Oryzias latipes: one gene and its partners. Each later gene encodes a partner of the first gene's protein in a complex. Links are inferred from orthologs where the notes say so. Each region holds a gene or a part of one and is shown on either strand. Other genes may lie near its edges. The genes, in order: nsmce4a, nsmce1, nsmce2, non-structural maintenance of chromosomes element 3 homolog and smc5.

What was found.
Region 2: nsmce4a (region 1) and nsmce1 share a complex: the UniProt entries of both Homo sapiens proteins name them as parts of the SMC5-SMC6 complex. The link is inferred for Oryzias latipes from reciprocal best matches to the Homo sapiens genes NSMCE4A and NSMCE1.
Region 3: nsmce4a (region 1) and nsmce2 share a complex: the UniProt entries of both Homo sapiens proteins name them as parts of the SMC5-SMC6 complex. The link is inferred for Oryzias latipes from reciprocal best matches to the Homo sapiens genes NSMCE4A and NSMCE2.
Region 4: nsmce4a (region 1) and non-structural maintenance of chromosomes element 3 homolog share a complex: the UniProt entries of both Homo sapiens proteins name them as parts of the SMC5-SMC6 complex. The link is inferred for Oryzias latipes from reciprocal best matches to the Homo sapiens genes NSMCE4A and NSMCE3.
Region 5: nsmce4a (region 1) and smc5 share a complex: the UniProt entries of both Homo sapiens proteins name them as parts of the SMC5-SMC6 complex. The link is inferred for Oryzias latipes from reciprocal best matches to the Homo sapiens genes NSMCE4A and SMC5.

Annotation. Positions count from the first base shown.
Region 1 is NC_019873.2:26,869,893-26,876,342, reverse strand, and holds the start of nsmce4a (non-structural maintenance of chromosomes element 4 homolog A), read left to right. Parts: upstream 1-2,745; 5' UTR 2,746-3,397; coding exon 3,398-3,557; intron 3,558-3,642; coding exon 3,643-3,723; intron 3,724-4,494; coding exon 4,495-4,625; intron 4,626-5,837; coding exon 5,838-5,989; intron 5,990-6,450. Other genes in the region: coiled-coil domain-containing protein 177-like, read right to left, coding at 319-2,004. UniProt on the Homo sapiens protein: Component of the SMC5-SMC6 complex, a complex involved in DNA double-strand breaks by homologous recombination. The complex may promote sister chromatid homologous recombination by recruiting the SMC1-SMC3 cohesin complex to double-strand breaks.
Region 2 is NC_019859.2:37,083,499-37,089,832, forward strand, and holds the start of nsmce1 (non-structural maintenance of chromosomes element 1 homolog), read right to left. Parts: upstream 4,090-6,334; 5' UTR 3,979-4,089; intron 1-3,978. UniProt on the Homo sapiens protein: RING-type zinc finger-containing E3 ubiquitin ligase that assembles with melanoma antigen protein (MAGE) to catalyze the direct transfer of ubiquitin from E2 ubiquitin-conjugating enzyme to a specific substrate.
Region 3 is NC_019874.2:13,947,377-13,953,775, reverse strand, and holds the start of nsmce2 (E3 SUMO-protein ligase NSE2), read right to left. Parts: upstream 4,091-6,399; 5' UTR 3,795-4,090; coding exon 3,680-3,794; intron 3,476-3,679; coding exon 3,363-3,475; intron 3,185-3,362; coding exon 3,031-3,184; intron 830-3,030; coding exon 738-829; intron 635-737; coding exon 528-634; intron 374-527; coding exon 262-373; 3' UTR 1-261. Other genes in the region: washc5 (WASH complex subunit 5), read right to left, coding at 4,571-4,627, 4,772-4,859, 4,936-5,089, 5,197-5,293, 5,384-5,513, 5,734-5,837, 5,918-5,997, 6,084-6,186 and 1 more. UniProt on the Homo sapiens protein: E3 SUMO-protein ligase component of the SMC5-SMC6 complex, a complex involved in DNA double-strand break repair by homologous recombination. Is not be required for the stability of the complex.
Region 4 is NC_019865.2:30,989,918-30,994,560, forward strand, and holds the end of non-structural maintenance of chromosomes element 3 homolog, read right to left. Parts: intron 3,928-4,643; coding exon 3,848-3,927; intron 3,759-3,847; coding exon 3,664-3,758; intron 3,584-3,663; coding exon 3,504-3,583; intron 3,385-3,503; coding exon 3,342-3,384; intron 3,243-3,341; coding exon 3,180-3,242; intron 2,181-3,179; coding exon 2,066-2,180; intron 1,964-2,065; coding exon 1,889-1,963; 3' UTR 1,748-1,888; downstream 1-1,747. Other genes in the region: 6-phosphofructo-2-kinase/fructose-2,6-bisphosphatase, read left to right, coding at 547-606. UniProt on the Homo sapiens protein: Component of the SMC5-SMC6 complex, a complex involved in repair of DNA double-strand breaks by homologous recombination. The complex may promote sister chromatid homologous recombination by recruiting the SMC1-SMC3 cohesin complex to double-strand breaks.
Region 5 is NC_019865.2:11,200,018-11,206,411, forward strand, and holds the start of smc5 (structural maintenance of chromosomes protein 5), read right to left. Parts: upstream 4,344-6,394; 5' UTR 4,290-4,343; coding exon 4,141-4,289; intron 3,194-4,140; coding exon 3,052-3,193; intron 2,024-3,051; coding exon 1,971-2,023; intron 1,816-1,970; coding exon 1,653-1,815; intron 1,574-1,652; coding exon 1,439-1,573; intron 1,327-1,438; coding exon 1,186-1,326; intron 1,093-1,185; coding exon 931-1,092; intron 1-930. UniProt on the Homo sapiens protein: Core component of the SMC5-SMC6 complex, a complex involved in repair of DNA double-strand breaks by homologous recombination.

The DNA of each region.
Region 1 (6,450 bases):
AATATCTGTTTTTGCAGAAGACACTTGCAGAGAAAAGTGATGATGGTTGATGCAAAAGAAGAATAAATTGGGGTTAAATAGTGGTTAAAAACCAAACAAAACGCACTTTAAAGGTTTCATGGTGACCTGAAAGGTCTGCAGCTTCCTGAAGAAGACGACCCATAAAGGCTTGAGCTCAGCTTTGGTCGCCATGTGGTTTTATGGATCAGATCAAACAAATCCTGGAACACTTTTATTCTTCGGATCGTGAGATCCAAACGTTTGCTGGTGTCCAGCTTGATAAAAGCTGAGGGAATGTTGGAGCCGAAATCTGATCCTCTATAGTTTTATGCGGCTTATGGAGGCAGCAAGCTGGGCCTCCAGAACCATCCGATCAAAGGTTCGAGTGTCCCTCTGCTGCCGCACGCGCTCCCTCATGTGAAAGGAGGCGCGGGCCAGCCTCTGCGCCTCCTCCTGGATCTGCTCTCTCTGCCTCTGCAGCCTCTCCCGCTTCCGCTCCTTCTCGGAGACGAGGTTCTCTCTGGCCTTGGTGACGGCCTGCTCCTCCTCCTGGATCTGGTCCCGGATCCTCCGGTGGCGGGCCTGTCTGTGGTCGTTGTGCTGGCGGACCTGCTGAGCTCTGCTCCTCTGCAGAGAGGAGGCGTGCAGAGCGGCGTTCTCCACGCGCCTCTGGCTCAGCTGCACCAGCATCTGCCGGTGCGTGAGCCGCTGGAGGCTCTGCAGCTCCGCCCTCAGCTGCACTCTTTGGATCTGCTCCTCTTCCCGGACGCTGCGCTCCTGCAGCTCCCTCCTCTGAGCCTCCGCAACTTGAGCCCGTTTCTCTGAGAAGTGTTGGAACTTTCTCTCAAGTGCGCTCCTCACCTGAGCCTCCTCTTCCTCCATCTTCTGCTCCACTTGTTTTTTCAGCAGGATGTGTCGGAGCTGCTCCCTGCGATTCTCCTCCTGCAACCTCCTCCGTTCCCTCTGTTCCTGCTGCACTTTGCTTTTCCGGGCTCTCCCTTCTTTCTTTACGGCAACCTGTCTTTCCTTCTCTCGTTCCTTCTCCTCCTTCTCCTCCTCCTTTCTCAGTTGCCTCTCCTGGTGACGCTTGCGCACCTCTGCCTCCTTCTGTGCAGCCTCTATCTTCTCTCTGCGTTTTGCATCCACCTCCTCTTTCAGCCTCCTCCAGCGGTCCTCTTGCAGCAGCACCTCCTGCTCCAGCTGTCCTGCCTCCTTCTGCTCCTGTCGCTCCCTCCGCCTCCTGCGGGCCTCCAGCTCATGGTGCCAACACTTGAGTCTGTGCTTCAGCTTCTTTCTCCGCTGTCTTTCTGCCTGCTCCTGCAGGAACTCTGCCTGTTTCCGGGCCTCCTCACGCTTTTGCTCCTCTTGCTGAGAGAGTCTCAGACGCTCCTGTTGCTCCTCATGCTTCACCAGCATCAGGGCGGCTATCTTTTGGTCCCTTTCTGACACTGTGACGCACATCTTCTTTTGGATTTCAGTGGCGAGCGTCTTAATTCTCATCTCAGTGGATGGGGAGTGTCTGAGATCTCCCAGGCTGAAGCTGGTGCCTGTGCCCCTGTCTGGGTCTCTCCTCTCAGCAACAGAGGAGGTGGACCTGCAGGAGGTCTTGCCTTTGAAGCACAGCTCTGCATATGGAACAGGTCCTGCCATCTGGAGCTCATCTGATGAAGAACGGTTCCGTCCTGGACCAGGTTTCTCCTCTGAGCGGCAGGCTGCGTCATCAGCGCGCCACGCCTCATCTGTCCCGTCCTCGCGCTTCTTCTGCAAAAGTTTAGATCTTTCTTTTCCATAAGACTCGTGCAGAACCGTCATCGTCTCGAAAGGCACCGCAGACCGCCTCTGCCCCGCGCTTAAATCGTTCAGAGATTTAATTAGAAGCTGAACCGGTTTGAGACCGGCGCATGGGTCGCGCGAGCTCGACGGAACGAGGCTGCCCTTCTCCGCTCTATCCGACCCAAAGTTCTTCAAAGAGAGAGATCCAGAACCGAACCCAAACCCAGCCATCGAAGAGCCTCGGCGGTTCCTGCGCACAACTCAATCAGTGCGGCGCTTGCGGGTCAGGAGGGGATTATCTGCGCGTCACGTGGTTCACTGTCGATTAAACCTCACCTGTCTGTCGGATAGTTTGAATGACCGTCTGAGACCGTTTGGTCCAGTTTCTCACTTACCAAAATCCAATGAAAAGGCCCCACTTCACCAATTAAAAATGATGCTTTGTTTATACGTTTTATATTTGTCTATATGTAACAATTTAAACTGATTTAAGTTTTGACAGGAGCACGTATAAATTAATTTCAAAATAAAATGCCAAAGAAGATCCTCTTGTGGACCAAATTTGTTATGTGAAACACTGCCAGAAGAATACAGCCTTAAAATAAATAGATACATTAACAATTGAAGCAGTTTGTCAGTGAGGAGTGTACGAAATACCTTTTGAATTTTTCAGTTTAAACACAATTTATATGCATGTTTGAATATGTTTCGATTAAAAGTTCATGATTATTTTTAAAGTTTTAAGATGTAACAATTAGGGTTTCCCTCAAGTTTTTTATGCAACTTTTTATTTATCTATTTACCTACTTCATGTCTACTTTTTGTCAGAAGGTCTACATCTACTGCAGAAATAGCTTTTTTAAGTTCAGTTTGGGGATTAACTTAAATCGTTACTTATTATTATTATTATTATGTTTTACAACAGTATTTGCAACTGTTGCAAATCCCCAAGATGCTAAAGGACAAGATAATGCGTCGTTTTAACTTCCGGTTTTGTGTCAACGGGGACTCTTAAGATGATTTTCACTCAACGTTGACATTAGAAATTTAAATACATCTATAAATCAGTAGTGAATGGGATAAATGTATATTAAATTCCCAAAATTTAAAATTAATATATTTTGTAGAGGCTTTAGTTCATCTCTTTAGTTTTAACCTTTTGTTTTCCGCTTGGTGTTGGCGCTTGGTTTCAGCTTCCTGTTTGTCCCGGAAGTCTCAACCCGGAACCTTTGTCAGTGGCGTAGGCATGTCGGTGTGTGTTTTTAAGCTACTTTTTGAACAGTTTATTCAATTCTTCGTAAACTTGAGAAACATGCCAAAGATCTGTTTACGTGACAAGTGAACGGTTAGTTCTCTACAGTATCGGTTTCTGAAATTAGCTTCTCTGTAGAAAAGCGCGCGCGCGAATAAGTTAGTTCGCTCCATCCATGCTTGCCTCGTTAACAATAACATTAACATCCTGCAGTAATTGCAACGACAACAATCGTGTTTAGTTAGTCGAAAACTTAACAACTCTTCGAGGAGTGTGGAGTTGATTAGGCAAAACTTTTGTAAACAGTTTTAGGTTTATCTGCCTTTCGCGGCAGTTTCTTTCACGTTTTTTCCCGGTGTCCGTTGCGTTGCGATGAGGAAGAGCAGAAGAAACGAGGAAGCTCCGCGGCAGAATGGCTCAGCAGACTTTGAGACCAACCCGGTCGGTCTGCAGGACGGACACGACGACAACGATACGGGCCGCAGGAGGGAGATCCGGAGCAAATACCGGGACCTCATCAACACCGTGCAGCGTCAGTACCAGCAGTTGTTTACTTGTTTACATTATTTACAAACAAGTCGTTCACGCCGCCCCTCACGTTGACCTTTTCCCCACAGAAAACAGGGAGGACATGCTGAGTCCATCCACGGATAAACTCACAGAGGTTTTGGAGGAGGCAAACAAGCTGTTCAAAGATGGTGGGTGTCATGGCAACCACTGAAAGTCTGTGATGGGGCGCACGCGCGCTCTCCTTTTTATTTTTTGCATCCAAAATAAGATGTTACAACGGTTTTCTTAAACAGAATGACCCAGATTTCAGTGAATAAAGTTTATATAAAGCTCCTCGCTTTTTGCAGCCAGAAAAAATATATTTATTCCGATTTATTAGGGGTGTAACGATTCATATTATAGTTTGTGGATGACCATAGGATTATAGTCGATATTGGTTCATTTTGAACGATCTGATTCACTGACCTACAATGGATCCAAGACAGCTTTAGCCAAAACTTCCATCAGTGGGACTCAGGGAGAAATGCTGGAAATAATGGCAAATCCATTCACATTTTAGTTTCCTACAGACTGTGGTTTTTCCACATCAAAATAAAAGATTATTCTAGCACGATATATGGTCACATGTCTTTGCTAAATTCAAATTGTTTCCACACTTAGGACTGGCTGTGATTGGTCATTTTTATGTTATGGTAAAATAAAACTACCATGTCTCAAGTCAAAGAGTATTTTCCAAAGTAATCAATTTATTTTATTTTGAAACGATTATGACGATTAAGAGCAATTCAATTAACAACCTACCTCACACAGATCGATCTGTCTGAATCGTAGTATGAATGATTCGTTGATTAAGTAGCTTGATTATTGCACCCCTATGGTGTAATAAAGTATTTATACACAGAGTGCTCACGTTCTCTAACCTGTCAGGTGAACCGCTCTGATTAACTTTTCTCTGACAGTCCGCAGAGCGAGAGAAGCTGCTCTCGATGCCCAGCTCCTCGTTGTGGCCACAGACTTGGGCAAAGAGAAAGCCAGCCAGCTGTTTTCAGAGGGGAGCGCCTTTGACCCCACTGCCTTTGCTGAGCATCTGGTGAGTGTGTTTGCTGTTCTGCACAGAGCTGCTGGGATGTCTGTTCCCCCGAATTTATGAAGGACCCCAGAAAAATTCATGTTTTATGGAGTTCATGTTAGAAACATTGATTGATTCAGTTCATGAATCAAGATCAAACCAAGATTATTTTATATATTATGTTTGAATGGTTGCTACATGTTTGTATTTTTATTGGATGAATGAAAATCAAAATATTATGTATTCAATCACCATCATTTACACGTTTTATTTAGAACAGGAGATCAACAGAACATCACTAACAAAAGCACAGATTTAGGAAGAAAGAAATGTTTTTTATCACTTTAAACAACATCACACACTCAACTTCCTGGTTGACTTCAGCAGGAAGCAAAACATAAACACAGAGGTCGTTTTGGAACAAACCCTGAAAATGTTCTCCACAGCTGAATGTTTAGCTGAAGACAGTCCCACTAGATCGATAGTAAATGAAGACGCAAACAACTAGAAAACACTCACAGTCCTTAAAGCGTAAAGACGAAAACAGAATTTCTTTTACACCGTCACATGACCTCCTTTTTGTATTATTCTTTATTTCATATTTATTATATATATTTTTTACTGTAATTTAATTTCCACATTCAATCAAAATCTGTTTTTCAGTACTTTTTTTTAATTTTTTTGTCCTCTATAAAAATACGAGATACTTTTACTTTGAAAATGAGAATCTTCACTGACACTTTATTTTGAAGATTTATTTACTTCTGGTGACAGTGGTGCATACGGCCTGTTTAGTCTATATTAAAAATACATTATTTTGCATTTTAGTTGCATTTAAGTATATATTTTGTTACTATACTATATAAAGATCGCAAATCTGCGATTTTAGACGTCAAAGATAAAAAAAATCAAAGTATTCGGATACTCGTTACAGCCCGAGTCCACGCTGCTAAGTAAGTTGTTCTGGCTGGTATGTTTTTATATTAAGCTAAGAGGAGACGAATAGAAAGAAATTAATTTCCTTATTGGTAAAAGATCCGCACATTTACTAAAGCATGTCTCCTCTTTTGTTTTTTTAGTCAAAAATATGTACGAGTAGAAAAACTGAAATAAAATCCATTTCTCTCTAAAAAGTATTGCTGAATAATCAGCAAAGAGTTGACTGGATGTTTCTCTGAATAATAATGAAACCTCCGTGGATCTATGAATGAACATGTTTGTGTTTTTCTCCAGCTGTCCTTCATGGGACTCAACCGACTGGAGGACGGAGACGGCGGTCCGCAGAATGCAGGCGCAGCCGACGGCTACCTGCCCAGAGACGCCTGGCACCGGCTGTCCAGACGAGTGGAGTGTTGTTTCCGGACGGCTCCGTCCTTCCACTACATGTGAGGGAGAGAGGGACGTTCCTCTGCTCAACATTCCACAGTCACACCACAAAATCTCAATATTCTGTATATTTGTCTGACATTTGTCAACCATTGGGACAAAAGACACGATGATGATAATCATCCAGCATGCAGATAGAGATCAGTTATTCTTAGAGAATACAGATTTAAACAGAGGCATGTGAATCCGTTACAAATGTTTGAATTATTTTAAATTGGTGTTTATGAACAATTGCTCGATTTTTCGGGCGGTAACGAGTATCTGAAAACTCAAACGATGACCGAGATCGCTGATTCGCTACCTTTATAAATATAGTAGAGAGTAATAAAAGTGCAGTGCAGTGTAATTTTCACTCAAAAATGCAGAGTAATGTTGGACAAACTAAACAAACCAAATGCATTGCTGTCAGCCGAAGTGTCAGTGAAGGTTCAGTGACAGTAAAAGTGGGTTTGTAGATGGA
Region 2 (6,334 bases), on another chromosome or scaffold:
AAATACAGGGTTGTGTCAGGAAGGGCATCCGGCGTGAAAATCTGCCAAACCACCTGTGAGAATCCCTGAAAGACTATTGGTTGTAGCAACCCCTGAAAGGTGACCAATGACATGGTTCAAAACTCACAACATGAGACAACATAAGACAACATGAGACAACACGAGACAACACGAGACAACACAAGACAACACAAGACAATATGAGACAACACGAGACAACACGAGACAACACAAGACAACACGAGACAACACGAGACAACTCGAGACAACACGAGACAACACGAGACAACTCGAGACAACATGAGACAACATGAGACAACATGAGACAACACGAGACAACACGAGACAACACGAGACAACATGAGACAACACGAGACAACACGAGACAACACAAGACAACACAAGACAACACGAGACAATATGAGACAACACGAGACAACTCGAGACAACACGAGACAACTCGAGACAACATGAGACAACATGAGACAATATGAGACAACACGAGACAACTCGAGACAACATGAGACAACACGAGACAACTCGAGACAACATGAGACAACATGAGACAACATGAGACAATATGAGACAACACGAGACAACTCGAGACAACATGAGACAACACGAGACAACTCGAGACAATATGAGACAACACGAGACAACATGAGACAACATGAGACAACACGAGACAATATGAGACAACACGAGACAATACGAGACAACACGAGACAATATGAGACAACATGAGACAACATGAGACAACATGAGACAATATGAGACAACACGAGACAATATGAGACAACACGAGACAACATGAGACAATATGAGACAACACGAGACAATATGAGACAACACGAGACAACTCGAGACAACATGAGACAACATCAGACAACATCAGACAACATCAGACAACATGAGACAATATGAGACAATATGAGACAACACGAGACAACACGAGACAACATGAGACAACATCAGACAACATGAGACAACACGAGACAACATGAGACAACACGAGACAACACGAGACAATATGAGACAATATGAGACAACATGAGACAATATGAGACAACACGAGACAATATGAGACAACACGAGACAACACGAGACAACATGAGACAACATCAGACAACATGAGACAACATGAGACAACATGAGACAACACGAGACAATATGAGACAATATGAGACAACATGAGACAATATGAGACAATATGAGACAACACGAGACAATATGAGACAACACGAGACAACACGAGACAACATCAGACAACACGAGACAACACGAGACAACATCAGACAACATCAGACAACATGAGACAACATGAGACAATATGAGACAACATGAGACAACACGAGACAACATGAGACAACACGAGACAACACGAGACAATATGAGACAATATGAGACAACATGAGACAATATGAGACAACACGAGACAATATGAGACAACACGAGACAACACGAGACAACATGAGACAACATCAGACAACATGAGACAACATGAGACAACATCAGACAACATGAGACAACACGAGACAATATGAGACAATATGAGACAACATGAGACAATATGAGACAATATGAGACAACACGAGACAACACGAGACAACACGAGACAACACGAGACAATATGAGACAATATGAGACAACATGAGACAATATGAGACAACACGAGACAATATGAGACAACACGAGACAACACGAGACAATATGAGACAATATGAGACAACTCGAGACAATATGAGACAACACGAGACAACATGAGACAACATGAGACAACACGAGACAATATGAGACAACACGAGACAATACGAGACAACACGAGACAACATGAGACAACATGAGACAACATGAGACAATATGAGACAACACGAGACAATATGAGACAACACGAGACAACACGAGACAACACGAGACAACTCGAGACAACATGAGACAACATGAGACAACATGAGACAACATGAGACAACTCGAGACAACACGAGACAACATGAGACAATATGAGACAACACGAGACAACACGAGACAACATGAGACAACATCAGACAACATCAGACAACATCAGACAACATGAGACAATATGAGACAATATGAGACAACATGAGACAACACGAGACAACATGAGACAACATCAGACAACATGAGACAACACGAGACAACATGAGACAACACGAGACAACACGAGACAATATGAGACAATATGAGACAACATGAGACAATATGAGACAACACGAGACAATATGAGACAACACGAGACAACACGAGACAACATGAGACAACATCAGACAACATGAGACAACACGAGACAATATGAGACAATATGAGACAACATGAGACAATATGAGACAATATGAGACAACACGAGACAATATGAGACAACACGAGACAACACGAGACAACATCAGACAACATCAGACAACATGAGACAACATGAGACAACATCAGACAACATGAGACAATATGAGACAACATGAGACAACACGAGACAACATGAGACAACACGAGACAACACGAGACAATATGAGACAATATGAGACAACATGAGACAATATGAGACAATATGAGACAACACGAGACAATATGAGACAACACGAGACAACACGAGACAACATGAGACAACATCAGACAACATGAGACAACATGAGACAACATCAGACAACATGAGACAACACGAGACAATATGAGACAATATGAGACAACATGAGACAATATGAGACAATATGAGACAACACGAGACAACACGAGACAACACGAGACAATATGAGACAATATGAGACAACATGAGACAATATGAGACAACACGAGACAATATGAGACAACACGAGACAACACGAGACAATATGAGACAATATGAGACAACATGAGACAATATGAGACAACACGAGACAATATGAGACAACACGAGACAACACGAGACAACATGAGACAACATCAGACAACATGAGACAACATGAGACAACATCAGACAACATGAGACAACACGAGACAACATGAGACAACATCAGACAACATGAGACAACACGAGACAATATGAGACAATATGAGACAACATGAGACAACATGAGACAATATGAGACAACATGAGACAATATGAGACAATATGAGACAACACGAGACAACTCGAGACAACATGAGACAACATGAGACAATATGAGACAATATGAGACAACATGAGACAATATGAGACAACATGAGACAATATGAGACAACATTACTGTGTGAGCTAGCATAACCTGCTTTCTGGAATACCCCCCTGGGCTATCATAGGTAGTGGGTGCAGTATTTAGGGGGGGTGACACTTATAAGTGTTTTACTTGTTCTCAATCCTCTTCAAACATTCATCTTTCTTTTCCTATCTATTTTTCCTTATAGCATACATCTGAAATAAAATATTGTATCTACACGTGTCTGTCTATGCTCAATGTGATTATTAGCTGGATGTGTTGAAGGAAATACCAGCCTGAAGTTTAATAAAAAATGTTTGAATTAATTACTCATATATACCAGACATTAAACAATATTTGTCCCAGTTGCAACAAAAAACCTTTGTCTCAGCTTAAAAGAATAACCTAAAGTTAATTTTTGTTGTTTTTTACTTTTGTAACCTAAGTCGTTGTTAAACGGATTTACTCTTTGTTCTCTATGTCAATGTTCTGAAAGTGTTTTAAAGCTACTGCTAGACGCTTGCATGACAAAAAAGGCACGAGAGTTGAATGTTATCACCATTATTTAAATACAAATGTAAAATATGGTTTCACAAACAGCATAAACTCGCAAAATGTCAAAGATAAAAAAAAACTGGGATGTGTTTAGCAGTTTGGAAACCCGTTAACTAACTTATTGGGTTTGTGGTTTGAAATCAAATGTAATTAATCTCTGTTAAATAATGTGCAGAGCGACTTTTCTGCTTTCTATTCGCTTCATTTGACAATATTTACACAGAAAAACATACATCCACAAGAGTTTACAGATGTTTACCTTTCCCGCTCCAGCACGAGGCACTTCCGTGTCGGTTCTTCTTCTTCCCGCCTTTCAGAGAGTTATTGCTATTGATTACTGCCACCTGCCGTCAGGGAAGAGAACAGCAGATCACATTGTTTTCACACACAAATTCACCGACAGCTCAAGAAAAAACGAGAAACACCATAATCACTAAATGAACAAACAATTTATTAGAAAAATTAATACATAATTTATATAAATACTGTAGCGACCTGGGGGTTAGGGGTTTATCTTCTTAGCCTCTTTCTTCCCCTCTGAAACTATCCAGGGTTGTGTGGTGTGTGGGACATGGTCAGCTCTCTCATGTAGCCACTTAATAAGCAGCTTGGCTATAGTGACTTACCATCTGGGTTGTTACAATACTAGCTATAGTTATAGAAATATTATTTTTTAAAATACTGTACAAAATAAACAATTTAAAACACAGAAAATACATTAACTGAAGAATTATTAAGACTAAGTTTGAGTAGTCTAAAATAGTATTGTAAATAAAACTATTTTCTCTTTATATCTCAACATTTTATTATGAAAAAAAACCTGTTTATTTACATAACTTATACCAGTAACCTAATTTCCTGCTATACATATTAATAGTCCAAGTAAATGCTCTAGTCCTGCCTGCATGCACTCATTTTCTATTGTAGAGTGAATGTGGCATTAACCAGTCTTCAGTGGTCCGTCACCTTCATCCAGTCTTCAGTGGTCCGTCACCTTCATCCAGTCCTCAGTGGTCCGTCACCTTCATCCAGTCCTCAGTGGTCCGTCACCTTCATCCAGTCCTCAGTGGTCCGTCACCTTCATCCAGTCCTCAGTGGTCCGTCACCTTCATCCAGTCCTCAGTGGTCCGTCACCTTCATCCAGTCTTCAGTGGTCCGTCACCTTCATCCAGTCTTCAGTGGTCCGTCACCTTCATCCAGTCTTCAGTGGTCCGTCACCTTCATCCAGTCTTCAGTGGTCCCTCACCTTCATCCAGTCTTCAGTGGTCCGTCACCTTCATCCAGTCCTCAGTGGTCCGTCACCTTCATCCAGTCTTCAGTGGTCCGTCACCTTCATCCAGTCCTCAGTGGTCCGTCACCTTCATCCAGTCCTCAGTGGTCCGTCACCTTCATCCAGTCTTCAGTGGTCCGTCACCTTCATCCAGTCTTCAGTGGTCCGTCACCTTCATCCAGTCCTCAGTGGTCCGTCACCTTCATCCAGTCTTCAGTGGTCCGTCACCTTCATCCAGTCTTCAGTGGTCCGTCACCTTCATCCAGTCTTCAGTGATCCGTCACCTTCATCCAGTCCTCAGTGGTCCGTCACCTTCATCCAGTCCTCAGTGGTCCGTCACCTTCATCCAGTCTTCAGTGGTCCGTCACCTTCATCCAGTCTTCAGTGGTCCGTCACCTTCATCTAGTCTTCAGTGGTCCGTCACCTTCATCCAGTCTTCAGTGATCCGTCACCTTCATCCAGTCCTCAGTGGTCCGTCACCTTCATCCAGTCCTCAGTGGTCCGTCACCTTCATCCAGTCTTCAGTGGTCCGTCACCTTCATCCAGTCTTCAGTGGTCCGTCACCTTCATCCAGTCTTCAGTGGTCCGTCACCTTCATCCAGTCTTCAGTGGTCCGTCACCTTCATCCAGTCCTCAGTGGTCCGTCACCGTCATCCAGTCTTCAGTGGTCCGTCACCTTCATCCAGTCTTCAGTGGTCCGTCACCTTCATCCAGTCCTCAGTGGTCCGTCACCGTCATCCAGTCTTCAGTGGTCCGTCACCTTCATCCAGTCTTCAGTGGTCCGTCACCTTCATCCAGTCTTTAATGGTCCGTCACCTTCATCCAGTCTTTAATGGTCCGTCACCTTCATCCAGTCCTCAGTGGTCCCTCACCTTCATCCAGTCTTCAGTGGTCCGTCACCTTCATCCAGTCTTCAGTGGTCCGTCACCTTCATCCAGTCCTCAGTGGTCCGTCACCTTCATCCAGTCTTCAGTGGTCCGTCACCTTCATCCAGTCTTCAGTGGTCCGTCACCTTCATCCAGTCTTCAGTGGTCCGTCACCTTCATCCAGTCTTCAGTGGTCCGTCACCTTCATCCAGTCTTCAGTGGTCAGTCACCTTCATCTAGTCTTCAGTGGTCCGTCACCTTCATCCAGTCTTCAGTGGTCAGTCACCTTCATCTAGTCTTCAGTGGTCCGTCACCTTCATCCAGTCTTCAGTGGTCCGTCACCTTCATCCAGTCTTCAGTGGTCCGTCACCTTCATCCAGTCCTCAGTGGTCCGTCACCTTCATCCAGTCTTCAGTGGTCCGTCACCTTCATCCAGTCCTCAGTGGTCCGTCACCTTCATCCAGTCTTCAGTGGTCCGT
Region 3 (6,399 bases), on another chromosome or scaffold:
TTTTTACTGTATTTACTAATTACAGTATCTTCACCTGACACTAATTTAAAATAGTAGAAAAAGCCCCTAAACGGCTTTGTGGAAACGCTGCCCTCTTGTGGTGTAGCCACATTATTGCATCACCAAAATATCAAACATGATAAAAAAAAAAGACAAAAGGTTCCAAAAATTCAGATTTAATGAACAAATATTTGCACAAAAATAGAACATTTGCACCCCAAAAAATAAAACATGGACAGATAGGTTATCAGTAAAGCAGTGCTAATTTTTGCTGTTTTTCTTCTTTTGGTTCTGAATCCTTCTTCTCAGTATCTGATCAAGAATGAGGTCTGACTCTTTCACATCTGCGTTTTCACAGCCCACCACAGGACATCTAAATGAAATGGAACAAAGCACAAATATCAGTTTCTTCTTTGGAACACTTAAATCCCTCCAACACAAACTTTGTAATCGAGAACATCACCATATCCTCAAAATGGAACTAGATTTATAAAGTTTCATTAGCTCAAAAGACTAGGGTTTCGTACCGGCACTTCTTCTTCAAGTTGCGTCTTGTTTTGATCAGGTCCAAGATGGCAGATTCATCATAGTAGTGGTTGCACTTTTTATTTTTGACTGGTTTTAACATTTCCACCTTAAAAAAAAAAAAAAAAAAAAAAAAAAAGCTTAACGTTAAAAGTTAAACAGGTGTGTCAGAAAATAGGTGGTGGTGGGGGGGGGGGGGGTCAGCGATGTACCTGTGTGAGCGGGCAGGTGAAATTGACCTGGCTCTGTGTGACGGCGATGTCCTCATCAAACTCCTCCGTGTTCTCTGCTGATTTCTGATTGGCTAAGAACACAAGCATCTCATTTGTAAACCTTCATTTGTTGCACAAAACCCTTAAAAAGTCGGCAGGAAAATACGCAGGTAAATGCCAGAATGTAGCTAAAGAGCAACATATTTTGCTTTCCAAATAAATAAACCCTCCATCCACAAAATCTTACATTTAAAAGTGTGCAACAGAGACATTCAAGACATCCACCTACACATAAATCTTTTTTTTTTTTTTCATTTTATAGATCATTTTCACAACAAATTCGGCTTCATTGTGGCCTGTAAATGCTGCCGGCTGAAATTATCTTCAAGGATTATGCAAATGAATGCAAATTATTGCTATTTTTAAACATTTATTTCAATATGCAACCTTTATTGATGTCTTCAGAAAAATAGACACAAACATTAGCCGCGGTTACATGTACAAAATGTTTTGATCGGATTCGAATTCAACCGTGTACATGGGCCCAGAAAAACTTTTTCCGATTATAATAAATGTTTACATGCGCCAGATGATCTTCTAAACGTGCTTTTATTATTGTTATGATTATTATGAAGCGCCTGCTTGCTCATTATTTATTTTTAATCTTTGTGGTCAGCTCTTTTTTTTCTGGGAGAACGGACCCGGAAGACGTTAGCGTTAGGAGTAGAAGGCTAACATGCGCTAACAACATTTAGCCTTGGATGAACATAAAATCCATGGGGGAAACGCCGCAATCTGCATCTTGGCTACATGTAAATATGTGGGAATAACATCAGCCTTTATTTTGTCGGGACACGAATGGAAACACAAATCCACGTGATTGTTTGAACGGTTTCTAAGGACTGAGCGACATTTCTGCTTTAAGCACACACCGCCCCAAAGCCGCTGTGTGCTCTGCTCGAAGACACAGTTCTACTGGGAGACCCGGCTCTCCTGAGTTTAGCAGCTCGTTCACCTAGAGCTGCAGTCCAAAGCCTCCCACTCATAGCACACACGTTACAAAGCACCCTCTCCTCCCCTCAAACACAAAGCTATAAGTCTGGCTTCTCTGCTCAGAGACACGGTTCACTCGATCCGATCAACAATCGGCATAACCCACCTATCTCGATTGGAAAGAAATTTTGATCAGAACAAGTCTGATCGGGGCAGAGTATTCCGAACGGCGTGTTTACATGACACATTTTTCTTCCGATCAGGTGTTCTTTCCAATTACTTTTGTCCATATAAACGCAGCTAGTAAGATAAACACAGATTTTGAAAAATGTTTTGAGTCAATAAATTGGAAAATTATGCAGTTTATACTTGTTGCATCTTAATATAAAAATGATGGGTGGAAAGGTGTGGATTTTACATGGTCTATTGCACTTTGTTTCATAAATGTCTCGAATTCTGCACTTGTGAAGCATGTCCCATTGTCTGATACCAACATCTTTGGAGGACCAAACACACTGAAACTCTGTCGCAATTTTTCAATGGTGATTTGTGAAGTAGCTGATTTCACCGAATAAATGGTTTTAGGTCATAATGGTTCTTCATCAGTAATACAAGCTCATTGAAGGACTTGTCTTTTGGCTTGTCTGGGCTGAGGAGGTTCGCATAAACTGTAGGTCGGTGCTCCAACTACACTTATCAACATTGCCTTTTGTCTGTCTTGATTGTCTATTTCATTGGCCGCAAAAAACTGTTCAAGTATTTCTGTATACTTAACCCAAGTTTGAGTCTTTGGATCAAACGCTGCTGGCGTGCCAATTGTTGCCATGCTTCACTTCTGTGGGAGGTTAACCACGTATCTTTCTGCTGCTTCTTTCTTCTTTTCTTTCTCTCTCTTTTTCTAAGGTCTATGGGCTTTTCTCCTCCTTAAAAATCCTCTTCACCAAAAAGATGTTGCATCTTCATATAAAAATGAAGGTCCCACACATTGAACTGGGTGCAACAGTTTTTCATTTGCATAACAGAACCTTTCTGAACAGTGGATGCTGTCCACCATGGTTCCTGACTTCTTCGTCTGTCACCACACGGCGCTACAACTCAATGAAACTTGTAGGCTTGCCCTCTGGTGGCCACTTACCTAATTACAATACAATATTAAACCAACAATCTTCTCAAATTCAACATACCACATTACTAAAAAATAAAAAAATAAATAAAAAAAGTAAGATGCGCTTTCAAACAATGCCTCAGAAATCAGTGAAATTATTTTATAGAGATATAAAAAAAAATTCAACAGCCTTACTTTGTTTTGAAGCGTTCCCGATGCTGTCCTTAAAGGCAGCCACTTTCTGATGGCTGTGGATTTCATCATCAGAAAGTCGGGCTATTCTCTCTGAGAACTGCTCCTTCACTTTGTCAGAAAGGCCGAACAAGGCCTCTGGTTGCTGTGCATTCACCTGCACCAAAGTGAGGCATATTAGATCATTTCTTTTTAGACTTATAAAAATGAGTCTGCGCTTTACAAACACGGATCTAATCAAAGCACAAACAAGCAAAAATAGGGACAGATAACGCTGCAGTAAATGACCTAAATGAATTATTGTTTTTAAACCTGATCCTCATCATAATAGTTACCTCGGATGTAACTTCTTTTGCGATGTCTACAAAGATGTTAATCTCCCTGTCCAGCTTGGCACAGTCCAGGATCATGGTCTCCAGCTCTTTGATGGAAGAGTTCATCTCTTCATCTGAAATGTAAAAAATATACACAAATATAAACTCAATTATTACAAAATATAAGTGCACGCTGAATGGAGCTTGGTCACATGTTTAGCATAATTGCGATAAAACACCATGTTCTTGGACTGCTTCACTATACTAACTGATCCTAGAAGAATAAAACCCATTTCTGATCACGTTTGCAGAAAATGATGCAGGCTCCGAATGTTTACCCTGAGATTCCACCACATCTATGGCAACGTCCGTCACGATGTCCATCCCCGTCGCAATGTCTGCCAAACACGATTTTAAATTGGACAATGCGCCGTTGACAGCACTCAGAGACATTGTGTTCGTAACTTTTATCCCTAAAGTCCAAAGAAAAATCACTGTGTGTTCACCGTTATTGATATCTTCCTTATGTTAACGGCTAGCTAGCTAACTGCTAGCCTTATACTCGCGCCGTCTTGCGAAAAGATGAGATATGCCAATGTATCTCAAAATAGAAAAAAAAACAAAAAAGATAAGTAACTATTCTTAATTCAAAGTACAACCAAAGATCAAACGATAACAAAAAAATAAGAAGGAAAAGGAAGAAAAGTAGTAAACATTTGAGATGAACGGAAGTTACAGTTTCACTTCCGTTTGTTTCTTCAAACTAAAAGCCATCAAATAAATTCATAAAGAAAACAACGAGCAGTAAAGAATTATACTGTATTTATTGATAAACAATACCACAAAATATTAGTATGGAAATGTTTTTGATTGAGCATTAAATGTACAGTTTATTAATACAAAACTTTATTGTTCTAGAAAATGAAATATGAACTACTTCTTGAAGCTTTTTTACATTTGACATTGTGGCCTTTTCTGGTTGAAATAAAAATGTATTTTTAACAAAACACATTTTGTTATAACATTGCAGAAACAGATTATAAGGCTGGGCATGAAATGTATATGGGGGGAAAAAAAGCACATCCTAATTTCTGAACAATTAATTAGAGCAAAATGATTGTTGCTTCTACCACAAAAATCTTTGCCACTAGATCAAGACTAATATAAACAAAGAAAAGTACAGTACAAACAAAGACTGCATCTTCAGTTTGATGTCCTTGTCCGGGGGCTCACAAAATAGTTCTGAATTCGTCAAAAATGAAACTGGGTACATGAGCTTCAACCACCTTAAAACAGATAGATAATAAAAAGAAATGCATGTTAACAATCCTTCAAGTTTGTAAAAACAAGCTGTCTTAGCATGACATAGCAATTCTTTTTCTTCCAGATACCTTTAAAATAAACCACCTCTAAAGTAACTGTTTTCTTACCTTGCGTGACAGTTTTGTGTATTTTACATAGTCTTCAAGGAACATCAGGGCCCCCACAACATCAGAGGGCATTTCAGGGATTTTCTGGCTGTGACACCAGTAAAAGACAAATTTAAGAAAACTGCAAACAATGGGTTTGATCAAAATGTTAAACTTTTAGTTACCTTGTGCACTGCTCCATAACAGAGCGGATGAACTGTCCAAGCAGAGCAAGGAAGTGCTGTGTGTATCTGGAGTGGAACTGCTTGAGCAGGGTGAGCAGACCCAGCACTAGTGGGGGCCAGTCGACAGGATCGGTTGCTTTCTTGCAGGTCATTCCTTTTACACAGAGAAAATCCTTAACTTGGCGTGTACACAGAAAAAGTCACCACAGAAATTCACAGATTCCAATCCATCAAGCTAAGATAGCGAGAAGTGAAACGCACCTTGATTTTTGTTGTACTGAAGTTTAGGCAGCTGAGCAATGATAAACAGGAGGTTGATGATGGGGAAGTAAGGAAGACGCTTTGTGGTGATGTAAATCTGTTTGAACCAAAAAGAAATAAACATTGTTTACTGGTGAAATGTGGCATTTTTAACAGGCTAATTAAAATAAAATAAAACCTTGCAAACCTTGCTGAGCGGGTTATGAATTCCAGCAGCTTCTAGGTAGGCAGTGATCTCATACAATAGAGTGTTTTCTTCTTTAGGATAAGGGAGAGATGGATCCTGGTAGTGTGCTTCTATGTCTGCCAGAAGAGACCTAACAAGAAGAAGAGATCACAACAGGTGGCAAAATGTAGCCTTAAGCTCACAAAAACACAATATGCTATAGTAACAAATGTTATCAGTTGTTAGAAATGAATGTATTCTAAAAAAAAAAAAAAGTGAGAAACACCTCGTGAACTACATCTCTAGGTACATATTTTCCATACAAAACTGCATAAAAAGAGCCTGAATTTGGCAGAAAACACAACACTTACTTGTTGAGGTTTTCCAGGGCAGCTGCCAGGTGTTTGGAGTCAAACTTGCAGGAGAAGTTAAGCTCATTGGCAATCTGCTGTCTGAGAATCTGCATCTGACCGACCTACAACAAAGGGATGGAACATCATTTTCATGACGTGAGCAGATATATCGAAAAATAAAATCATAAATGTTTTGATTTACCTTCATGATGGCCTCCAGGTATGGACCCCAGATCTTCTGGGATTTGGCCACAGCACTCGTGTACGCTTTGCTGGCATTGGCTATATAGCCAAAATACACAATCAAATGATTAATACCAATACATGACTTTGGCTATACATTTTCATGAATGAGAACAAGAATTTACCGACGATGCCTTGGACTGGGTTGACTGCAGCCAGCACAGTTTTGAAGACTTCCACCAAGGCTTTGTCCTTCAGGATGCTCTTCTGAAGCATTGTCAGGAAGTTCTAGTGACACAAACAACGATTTGAAAAGAATTTTACAAAATAAAGTTCAACTTCCTCAATATTTTTCAATTCAGGGTGTTGTTTTATTCCACGGGAAGTAAAATCAACCTGAAGTTCTCTGACAATCATGAAGCACAGAAGTCGATCCAGTCCGTTGAGTCCAAATGTACCCAGAGTGTTCTGGATCTCAGAAAACAGCCTTTTGTTCGTCAC
Region 4 (4,643 bases), on another chromosome or scaffold:
AGCTAAATAAAGTTGAATTGAATGTAACCAAAGACAAATAAACCAAAATACCGGTATTTTACATGGTAATGGTGTGAAGTTCTTATACATTCATATATTTTGTTCTAACGTATCCAATCTTATGGCTGTAGTTATGACAAACCACAAATATTTCAAACATATACAGTTACAATACTTTTTCAACTTTGGCCTATTTTCCTTGTGCAGTATTGTTATGAAAACATTTTTGGAGTTAGTGCCAACATATGTTTAAAAGTTATTGGCCTGCAGTTTGTTACATAAATAACATGTCAGATCTATTGGAAAGGTTTTCATTGAAACACTGAAAATTCAAAAGTAAAGGATTATTAGAACATTTCCTTACAGTTTAGTAATGTTCATAAATTCTACAGTGTTTAAAAATATATATTTTTCAAACCTCTCATTTTTTATTCACGTTATTGTATTTTAATCTGCATATTTATAAGCAGAATCAATATTCCTGTGTGGACATAAATGAATGTAAACAACTTTCTAATAAGGATCCGTCCTCTTCCTGTCTGTCAGAATGTGGACGTGGACAGAGACCCAGAGGAGGCCCTGGAGACGGTTCCAGACCACATGTAGAGGACGCAGCTCTGCCACTCTGCTTCCCAGGAGTTTTACATTCAAGCCGTTTCCTTTCATCTTAATGCTGTCAGAAATACTTACCCAGTGGAATTTAACCATTATGGGCATTTTATGATTTCTGCTGAGAAGTTCTTTTCTGGTCCTAAAAATCGCATCTTTTACTTCTCTACACAAAGAAATTTGACCCTGAAGTTGGTCCAGTGGAGCTTCTGGGCTCCGGCTGCCATCTCCACAGCACACAGACCTAAATGCGAGGTGCTCCCATTTTCAAAACTGGATCCTTTCTTCCTCACAGGAAGACTCAATAAGTACAAATGCACAGGTTGTCTTCTGCAGATTAGCAGACAGGAAGGCTGTTGCCGTTTGTACCAGTGACCATGACAACCATATGTTGAGTGATTTGTGGAGAGTCTGGAGTGGAACGCCATCTTCACTGCAGCATGTGACCAGGAGCAGCAGCCAGACCGAGCTGGGGATCCAGTTTATTGAAATAAAGACACTTTACCCGCTAGTCGGTTTCTGCAATCTGACTTCAGCTGCTCCTCCCACAAATGCATCATCCTGACGAATGTGTTCCCATCTCAAAGGAAACAGGCTTTCCTGCATCTTTGAGACCACTGGACCAGCATTAAAAACAGCATTTTCCCCACACAAACCTTTGTGCAGATGGAAGACTGTTGTCACTTGCAGCTCTCAGACTGACTGCATCCAGCTTTCACCATCAGAAAAACACAGGAAGTTCTCATCCGCTTCAGGCTCATCACCATAGACTGAAACATGCTGGAGCTGCAGCTGCAGTCTGCTGCTCGTTTATCAGGTCAATTGATACGCAAGTTCTGTTTTATGTCCAATTTACTGTTAAATCATTAATCCAGATGACAAACTGGACTAGCAAGTGGGTTCATTCCCATATCACCTGCTGAGAACTTCAAAAACAAAGTAGCATTAGATGAACTCAAAGGCTTCCATTTTATTACTATACAGGGTTTTGGCGTGCTGTTAAACCTGGAAGCTGACTCAGCAGCACAACACAAACCTGCCAAATGAAGACTTAGGAGCTTTTTCAAACTAACAGATTTCTGCAGCAGTAACGGCTATGTGCTCTCGTACACGCATGAAAAACCAGCAGACCGTGACAGGCTGTCACATAGCTTGAACAGATTTATTTTTTTTAATAAAATGTATGAAAAGATACAGAGAAACCTGGCATTCATAACAATAATGCAATAGAAAAAGGCACAGACCGCTTCCAAAATAAATAAAAGCATTGCGATGGCAGTCATCTCTGGCTGCTGCTGCTGGCCTGAGCCTCTCTGTACAGCTGAGTCCAGCTCTGAGGCTCCTGCTCATGAAGCTGAGGGCAAACAGCAAAGCATCGTCAGTTCAGAGTCCACTAGTCTACATCTGAGAAGAAAGCACCACAAAGCAGAACCGTGGTCACCAACAAGCCACTCACCTGGCCCATGAACTCCAGAATCTTGGCTTTGGACACCTCCATGTCCGCCCGCTGACCCCAGCGGAATTCATGCTCCATGGGCTCAGTGTGAGGAATCCGCACATACTCCAGATACCTGCAGACATCCAGCATTCCCACGGTCATCCCTCCGGGCTTACAAAGGAATTAGAGGAGACAGAGCTGGAACAATGCAGGTCAACAGCGTAGGACAGTCTGGAAGGAGCGTCACTAAAATACAGAGTACTTGGGGTCAGACTGGACCGAACCGTCAAAGGTCGATGTCTGAAGCGTGCACTGCTCCAGCCGTGCTGCTGGGGGGCTGGCGGCTTCACCTTCAATTGCTCTGTGGTGTGGTATAAACCAGAGTCTATGGTTTGAGAGAAACTGGCTCTGAACACACCAGTGGGATTCAAGCTCACAGAGAGGCGTTTCAAACAGACGAAAACAAATGAGTGAAGAAGTAAAACAGTCAAAAAACAAAACAGAAGTCCTCCAAGCTGAAAGAGTATAATGTGGAACGTCCCACTCTTTCGCCGTCTTCTCTCTTCAATCTGGTTCAAAAAGAAATGCATGAAAAATGCAACGTACATCAAGTCTAGCCTCATGCACAAGAGGGGTTTATACAAATACACAACTTCTGTGTTTGAAGCTACGTAACCTCATAATGTAAGCAACATTTATCCACAGGACGCCAGCAGCCAGGGCTGCACAACAGGAGGAAAATTTCAGAGTGTGATTGGAGTGATCATTATTGCAACGATGATAATGTAAGGGTGGGGTCATCTGGACCCCATTGGATAGCACAAGGGTTAAGTTGATTCGTTAGCTACTTCACTCTGCCATGAGATTGTTTTTGCATGTGTGTAAACTTCTAAGGTAACCATTTATCTCAGTTTATGCCGTCTTTGGCGATACGCATATCGCACAGGCTGATACCGCGATAACGAAAATCTTTCTTTGGTTCAGGCCTGCCTTCAGCTAGCACAGGTTTGCTAAGCTGCTAGAAAAAGCCATCGTACCTGTGTGAGTCAGTAATAATGCAGAGCCTAATTCATATTTCTTGTTTTATTTGATTGATCGTAAAAGAATGTTCTACTGCTACGCTGGTTCTTACCTTTGACGCACAAACTCCTCTGTGACGAGTCTCTTCACGTCTCCAAACTCTTCGTGCTTCTCTCTGAGGTTTTCATCAGCAGACATGCAGAAAAGGAGGAAGGCAGTGAAACCTATGGAAGGTTTTTAAACCATCGCTAAAGGCACAAAAACATGGTCTCACCCAGAGTCAACTCGCAGTTTCTTTAGTGTGTTCCAGATGACATCTAAGAACCAAGAGGAGTAAACTTTAATGTCTTTACTGAGCAAAACAAACAGAACTAAAACAGTTAATGGAATTGACTGAATAAGGAACAAAACTATAGTTAAAACCTGTTAAACTCACTTTCTCTGACGACACCTCCCTTCATGAAAGTAACACCCAGAATCACGAAAAGTAGACCAAGTTTGGGATTTGCAGGGCATCTACACACACAGAAAAACAACAATAAACCTCATTTATGGACCATTCAAATGAGCGTTTCTCAAAATGACACGATACTCACTCGACTGGTGAAGGTTTGTCAGCGGCTTCCAGGTTATTGATCAATATATATGTGTGATTTTTGGGGTCAATTTCAACCAGTTTCAAACCAAACACCTGAGCAAGAGTTAAAAAAAGAAGAACCTCACAAATGTGATCTACTGAGACAATAAATGAAGACAAGAATGCAGTCAGGTAGAACAAACCTGCTCAAAGGTCCGAGCTGCTCGCTTTATGATCTCAGGATAGATGTTTCTGTAGTCCTTCACCACGTGTTTCACAAGGTCTGAGAAGACATTAGCAGGCAGTGAGTCACCTCTGCAGCTGTCGCATGTTCAAACTCCCTATCCACTGCTCTAGATGCAGTGGCGGCGTGCTTTCCACCACTGCGTCCGACGCTTTGCTTTGCACTCGGTGACGTTGGCTTGGATGCAGCTGCTCGGCCATGGAAACCCCTTCCATGAAGCTCTCTGCGTGCTGGACTTGGGCTAACATGAAGCTCCTGGGAGCAGCCCGTTCTTTCACAAACGTTAGCACAAACAGTCTGCATGCATGAGGGCCTGATTTGATACACCTGTGTTCAGGGCAAGTGATTAGGACACCTGATTCTGATCATTTGGACGGGGGAGCCAGTACTTTTGGTAATATAGTACATGTCTTCATCACCAGTTACATCGTGAAGTGAAGCTTTAACTCTCATGGAAAGTTTACCAAAATGCTTTGCTGCTGCTCCGCCCCTTCAAATAGGGAGGTGGAACTTAGATGAAAGGTTGGTCCTCCATGAAGAGGCGTGACAACAGTCTGCTGCTCTAAGCTTCAACAAACATTTGATACCCTAACGGGTGTTCAACTTCAACATTACAGAATGTTTCAAACAGGTTTAAAGACAATGTTCACATTTGAAATGTAAGCATCTATGTACTGTATGTAATTCATTTCTTGTGATTGAAGTTGAAGGCACAGATCCCGACCGTCTGGGACTCCTTCAGCCTGGATCCCAAG
Region 5 (6,394 bases), on another chromosome or scaffold:
ACAATGTTTCGACCCAGGTAGGACAACGATAGATAATTTAGAAAAAATTGTAGTTCCTGAAGAAACAGTTCTTTTAATGGCACCTGGACAGATTTGTTTGCTTTCAAAGACTTTACCACTATGAATAATATGTAATGAGTAATTGGCAAACAAAAATGTCTCAAATGTGCCAAAATAAACATGCAGCTTTAGCCCAAAGACATGCTGATCGAGATGAGAAGAAAAGTTGTTTGCTGACAAAAATCTATTGGACAAGTGGATTAACTGCTGGTTATTTACAACATATTTGCTCGTTTTGTGGCCCCTCGTGAAATAGATCTCATTGGAACGCATTAAATGACAGAGGTTACAATAAAAGGAACATCTCTTCACAAACTTTAACAATGAGTGAAATGATGCCATTCACTGGAAACACTGGGATTTCTAAAAACAAATGCTGCAGCTCCCTGTGTTTTACTTTCTGTGGGAAACGGATCCATTATAACAGTTGACCAATCGAATTGGTCAACTGTTATAATGTGAGATGCCTGGTTCTTATGTAGACGAGGGTCATTTGGAGTAAAATTTTAGTTATATTGACTTTTATTTCAATAAAACTGATGAAATGAAATGGAAATGACGTTGCAGGATTTGTTCTGTATCGCAAGTCATTCGTCATTGGAATATTGATCACTAATAACGTACATCACAGATTTTCTCATACCCTGCAGCCCTATTTGGTGCAATCACAGCATGGTGAGATCCCAGAGAGACTGACTGTGGTAAACATTACAGACCTCTCTCACCTTTTTAAATGGGACACTTTGCAGAATCGCTGACTTTCAAATACTTTCCCTGACCTGCTGTGTGTTAGGACAACAGTTGACAACATCTCATAAATACATGTCAGCTTCTGTATGTCTTGAGCAGAATGCAGCACCGTCTCTCTACCTTGGTCTTCATCTGTGCCTCAGTGGGCTTCAGCTGGTCATCAATGTCCTGAATTTTTCTTAGCATGGGAGTTTGGGCCTGTCGTAGGGCAGAAAGCTGTCTTTTGGTCTCCTCTCGCTCCCTTCTGACACCCTCAAGTTCCTTACGGGTAGTCTCGTACTCCTGTTGCCAGGAGGAAACAGAAACAGGAAAGATGCCCCGTTTGTTTGTTTGTTTGTTTGTCTCCTTCTTGTTAAACCAAAGTGACACACTTACAACCCATGGTTTCTTCTTCTCCAGAAGCTCAATGACATCCAGATGTCTCTTCTTTTCATAATAACGGTTGACATCATGCTTGTACCTCTCATTTCGTTGTTTGGCCTTCTCCAAGAAGTTTGCCTTCTCCTTTACAACATTCTACAATGAAATATTAGAATCTCAAAAACCGACGAAACCCTCAGAAAACAGTTTTGCTCAAAACCCAGAAAACAAAAGTACAAAAAATAAACCATAAAGCTTTAACTATTACCTCCAATTCTCTTTCCTTGTTGCGGAAGTTTTTGAGCTCACAGTGGTACTCGTACATCTCTGGGGGTCCCACAGACTTCTCAGTTGCCTCCAACAACTCGATCTTAGACATTTTGGCAAACTCACCAACTTTTTCCTGTTGGGAAAAACACAACATGAAGGAACTTGAGCAGTTTTCTGTCTATTAAACCCTTGGCACTTTCACAAACACATACCTGAGGAAGAAACTGGCAGAGGTTGCCGACTTGAATTTGCAGAGCCTTGACCTCCTCTTCTACCGTTTTCTGGTTGCAGTGTTTCCCATTCAGCATCCAAAGGGACTGATTATTTTCCACATGGATCTCCCTGTTAATGACTATGTTACCTCCTGTTTTGTACCTTCAACAACAGAACAGAGACAGTTACAAAAAATAAGTATGTTTAAGGGCACCAATGTTAAGGAGCTGTAAGCTTTTTCTATAAAACAACTGTGGCTGAAATGTCTGTTTTTAAAAGAATGAGTGACTTTGTGGAAATTATTTCACATAACTTACAATTCAATCTCAATGGACCCTTTATGGCAGCCACGCTTCACATAAAGCCCAACCTGAAAAAAAGGTAAAGGAAGTCAAACCTGTTTAAAGTCCTTGCAGCAATTCTAACTTTTTTCCAAAAATGTATACATTTCTGTGCTTTTTTCTCTCCTTTTTTCCCTTTTTGTCCTTTTCTGTGTATTGAACATTGCAACACCCCCTTGTTTGTTAAGTGATTTATAGGTTTAGGTTTGTCCTACCGGTACATGTTTTTGCTTTGTTTGTATCATTGAACTCAAAATAAGGGGTAAAAAACGTCTATGTGCCATTTCGTTTTATTTCTGTAATGTCCCTGTTGTATTTGAGTGAACTTAAAATCTATAACAAACATAAGTTGGAAGCATATTTAATTGATAAGGACAAGTGTGAAGAATAGTTAGAAACTGCCTTTAACTTTTATTACACTAATGGTTTAAACTTAAGTCACTAAGCATGTATTATCATCTCAAAATTATATTACATTTGAAGAAAGCACAACCAAGACTGTTTTCTCATAGCATTCCTCATCCTCCCTTTTTCCTTTTTGTGTGTGCTGGTGTTTGTGCTGTTTGTGACACTTGAAGCTTCTTGACCTTCGAGCATCTCGCCTGCAACAACCTGTGGCCGTGATTTTCACACCACTGTCCAGTGTATGATCTTCTGAATATGCAAATGCAGGGTTCTTATACCAAGACCATCTCTCTGAGCTTCGGTGTTCAGACTTTGAATGCACTATATTCATCTGTCTGTCCCCTTCGTGTTTGTACGAAGTAAAACTTCCACAAAAGATAAGTTTTGTCTCTGAGTCATTATTCATTCGTTTCTGTGTGCAGCAAACTGAAGGGTACGACCTTAACCTTATTTTTATCTACAGTCCTGTTTAGAATGATCAGTTTCCTCACAACAAGTAAATATTTGGCCAAAGTTTAAGTGAGTCATGGGATGCAACATTGCTGAACTGTTCAAGGTTAAGGCTTCTGTCAAAATCTACCAGTTACTCTGATCTTTTATAGAGAATCTCATCAACACACTTCAACTAAATAAATCCCAACAGTACATTTACCTTATCTCCTCTCCCCAGAACAGCGGTCTTTCCAGCCAGGCCCAGACAGATGGCACAAACAATGCTGGACTTGCCAGTTCCATTTGCACCAACAATCATGTTCAGATTTGGTCCAGGACACACCACAGAGTAGTCATAGGTCCTGCCAAAGTACAGCGAAGACACCGGTCATTTTCCAGCCACATGCAGGAAAGTCACACTTTAATTCTTCAAACAAAAAACATCAACATTACGGGTTTTATCTGTTTTTCAACAATTCAATTAAATTAATGATACGAGAAGAAGATTAAAGCACAGTGACACACAACGCGATTTTAACACAATAAACATACATAAAGGTACTCGTAGAAACCTGTTTATGTGGTTTGTGGAACTGTAAAACTCATGCTTGACACTAGTACACTGAATGTTACTGAAGACTGAATCTCACATTTTCTAATACTGTTCAAAGATGATGCAGAAATGCAATGAAGTGTAGAGAACTGTGTTTTACACTATATTAATGCACTTTTCATCTATTCTGTAGATTCTGTCATTCTTGTTGCAAATCATGTGATGTTTTTTTCCCTTTATTGAATATTATGACAATTTAAGGATGTTGGAAGATTTCAGTTAACATCACTGAAAATAATTCAGATGACATTAAATTGGCACTTTCAGTTTTGGGTTGTCAAACTCTCAGACACAAATGTGACATTGGCTCTTTGCTTTTAATATTTTCCAAATTTTGTAAATTAAAAAAAGACGAAAAAATACATTTGAGTTTAAAGACGTAAGAATAACAATTACTGGTAGACTACATCATATCCGAACCTGACAAAAGAGTTTTCATTTTTCTAAAGTTGAAGTCGTTTAGAATTAAAATACATAACATACACAACTGATGAGTTCTACGTTAACGGAGCAAAAACAGCCCAGCTTACTGACTTTATTCCTCTTCTACAACATCGGTAAACCAAAACACGCTTCAGTAAAACATATCATATGTCAGCTTGTCAGAGCAAATGTAGAGGCTAAGCTTTTACGGTAGTTTGGCGTTAGCATAGCTAGCTTAACTAGTGTGACTAGTGAAAAGGAGGTGGAACTTACAGGAAGTTTTTCATGGTGATGCGCAGAATGGAGCCCTCCACAAACGGATGAGCTTCATCGACATCCCTGGTCTTATAGAAGGCCTTGGAAGGAGTCTGTGAACTGTTGTTATGGTGGCTGAGCCGCTGCTTCTTACTAGGCTCAGCCATGTCAACAGACACTGATATACTAGTGATGGGAAGAACAGTTTGCCCTGCCGCGCTTTCCCGAGGCAAAGCTGAAAGATGATTGGTGAAGATAGGTCACGTGTGTCCACATTTGATGACGTAAGATTCTAAACAGTGCCCCACCCCCCCCCAAAAAAATGTTTTACTCTTTTATACTGAGAAATAAAGTAACCAGTATTTGAAACATTCTGTACTAAATAGAAACACCTGTACATATTTAAACTGTTTACATTAAACAAACTCTCTCACAGTTATTAATTTTATACTAGTGCAACCTCCTCCAAGCCCCAAAAAAGGGCACTGTTTTTTTATTTTTTATTTAACCCTGTTAAATTAATAAATAAACACAATTTTAAAAAGATATTTGTAAAAGACAACTATTTTTGTTGTTGCAATGGGATCAGATTATGTCTTGAAGTGTGTGTGGTGCAGGATCTGGAGCAGCCCACCAGCAACTAATTGTTGTTGTTTTTAAGTTTAATTCAAACATGTTAATAATAAGATAAATATTCTCTATTACTTGCCTGGAAATAAAGAGGAATGTTTTAAGCCTAACTTGGAATGTAGAAACTGTGTTGGCCTCTCTTACATGAACTGGGAGCTTATCCCATAGAACAGGGGCTTGATGGCTAAAGGCTCTACCTCCAAATAAATACAACTGTGTATGATCCGCATAACAGTGACAATCAATAGTGGGCAGCGTATAAAGCATAAAGGGGAAGGGTCCTAGAACTGAGCCCTGTGGGACTCCGTAGCTAACTCGAGTTCCATGAGAGGACTGTCCATTTACATTAACAAACTGGTCCCTATCGAATAAATAGGATTCAAACCACTGGAGGGCAAATCCTCTGATCTCTATGTCATACTCTAATCTTTGGAGTAAAATACTGTGGTTGATAGTGTCAAAGCCTGCACTGAGGTCTAACAGGACCAGAATAGACAGTAGTTCCTTTTCTGAGGCCAATAATAAGTCATTAGAGACTCTATATAGTGCAATTTCAGTGTTGTGGTGTAGTTTGAACCCTGACTGAAAATCTTCAAATTGACTATTGTCCTGTAGGTGGCGGTAAAGCTGCTTAACTACCACTCATTCTATGATTTTTGAAACAAAGGGGAGATTTTTTTTCTTCTTTACTTTATTATAAAGGGGAGATTTGATATTGGACTATTGCAGGCCAGATTGCCGGGATCTAAATTGAGCTTTTTTAGAATAGGTTTCACAACTACATATTTAAAAGACTGTGGCACATAACTTGTTTCTAGAGAGGTATTTATTATACTTAATAAATACTATAATAAATAATAGTTGCATTTGATCAGGTGACTTTCCAAATAAATCTCCATTTCATCACTTCTCCACCATTCGCAGCAGTTTTGAATTCAGAGCAGCCTATGAACATGCCCGTTCTTAAAGAGAGACATAACTCATTCTGTGTTTGTGGCTTTGCCGTTGAGAGAGTAGTAATGAGTCTGACAACAGGAAAGCAAGCAAAACATGGAGAATCAAGAGCAAGAAAAGAATTCCATCTATAACCGGCTCTAAATGCAACCCGCACCTGAGAACTGAGAGAATCTTAAAACCAGAGCACATCATCACTGACTGAAACTGAGACACTTAGGCATTTTAAATGCCAACTTTCACTATGAATGATTAAAATCTTGTTTTTCTTGTTTTGCACATTTAAATTTATATTTTGTGTTGTGGCTGTTATGTTTTCTGTTTTTTCACTTTAAATTTGTTTAAAATGAAAAAGTCCAAACATTAGATAGTTTTGAGTAGGAGTGTAGTTTTTTCTATTTTATAATTTATTTCTTACATCAGCAGTTAACAAACAAAAGCATGTTCATATAAAGCACATTTTAATAAAAACACTTTTTTAGCAAGAACAATTCATTTTGTGTATAATTTTATATTATTGTTCATATTAAATTAATTAAAGCAACAAAACAATCTGAAGAGCTGATTGGGAGCTGAAAAGGTCTGCTGTTTCAGGTGAGCCAAGCCAGACGGAACCATTCTCTGTAAGAGGAAGCAGAATTCCCATCACTATACAAATGGAGGAGTCTTTGCTAGCATTGTTTCTGTG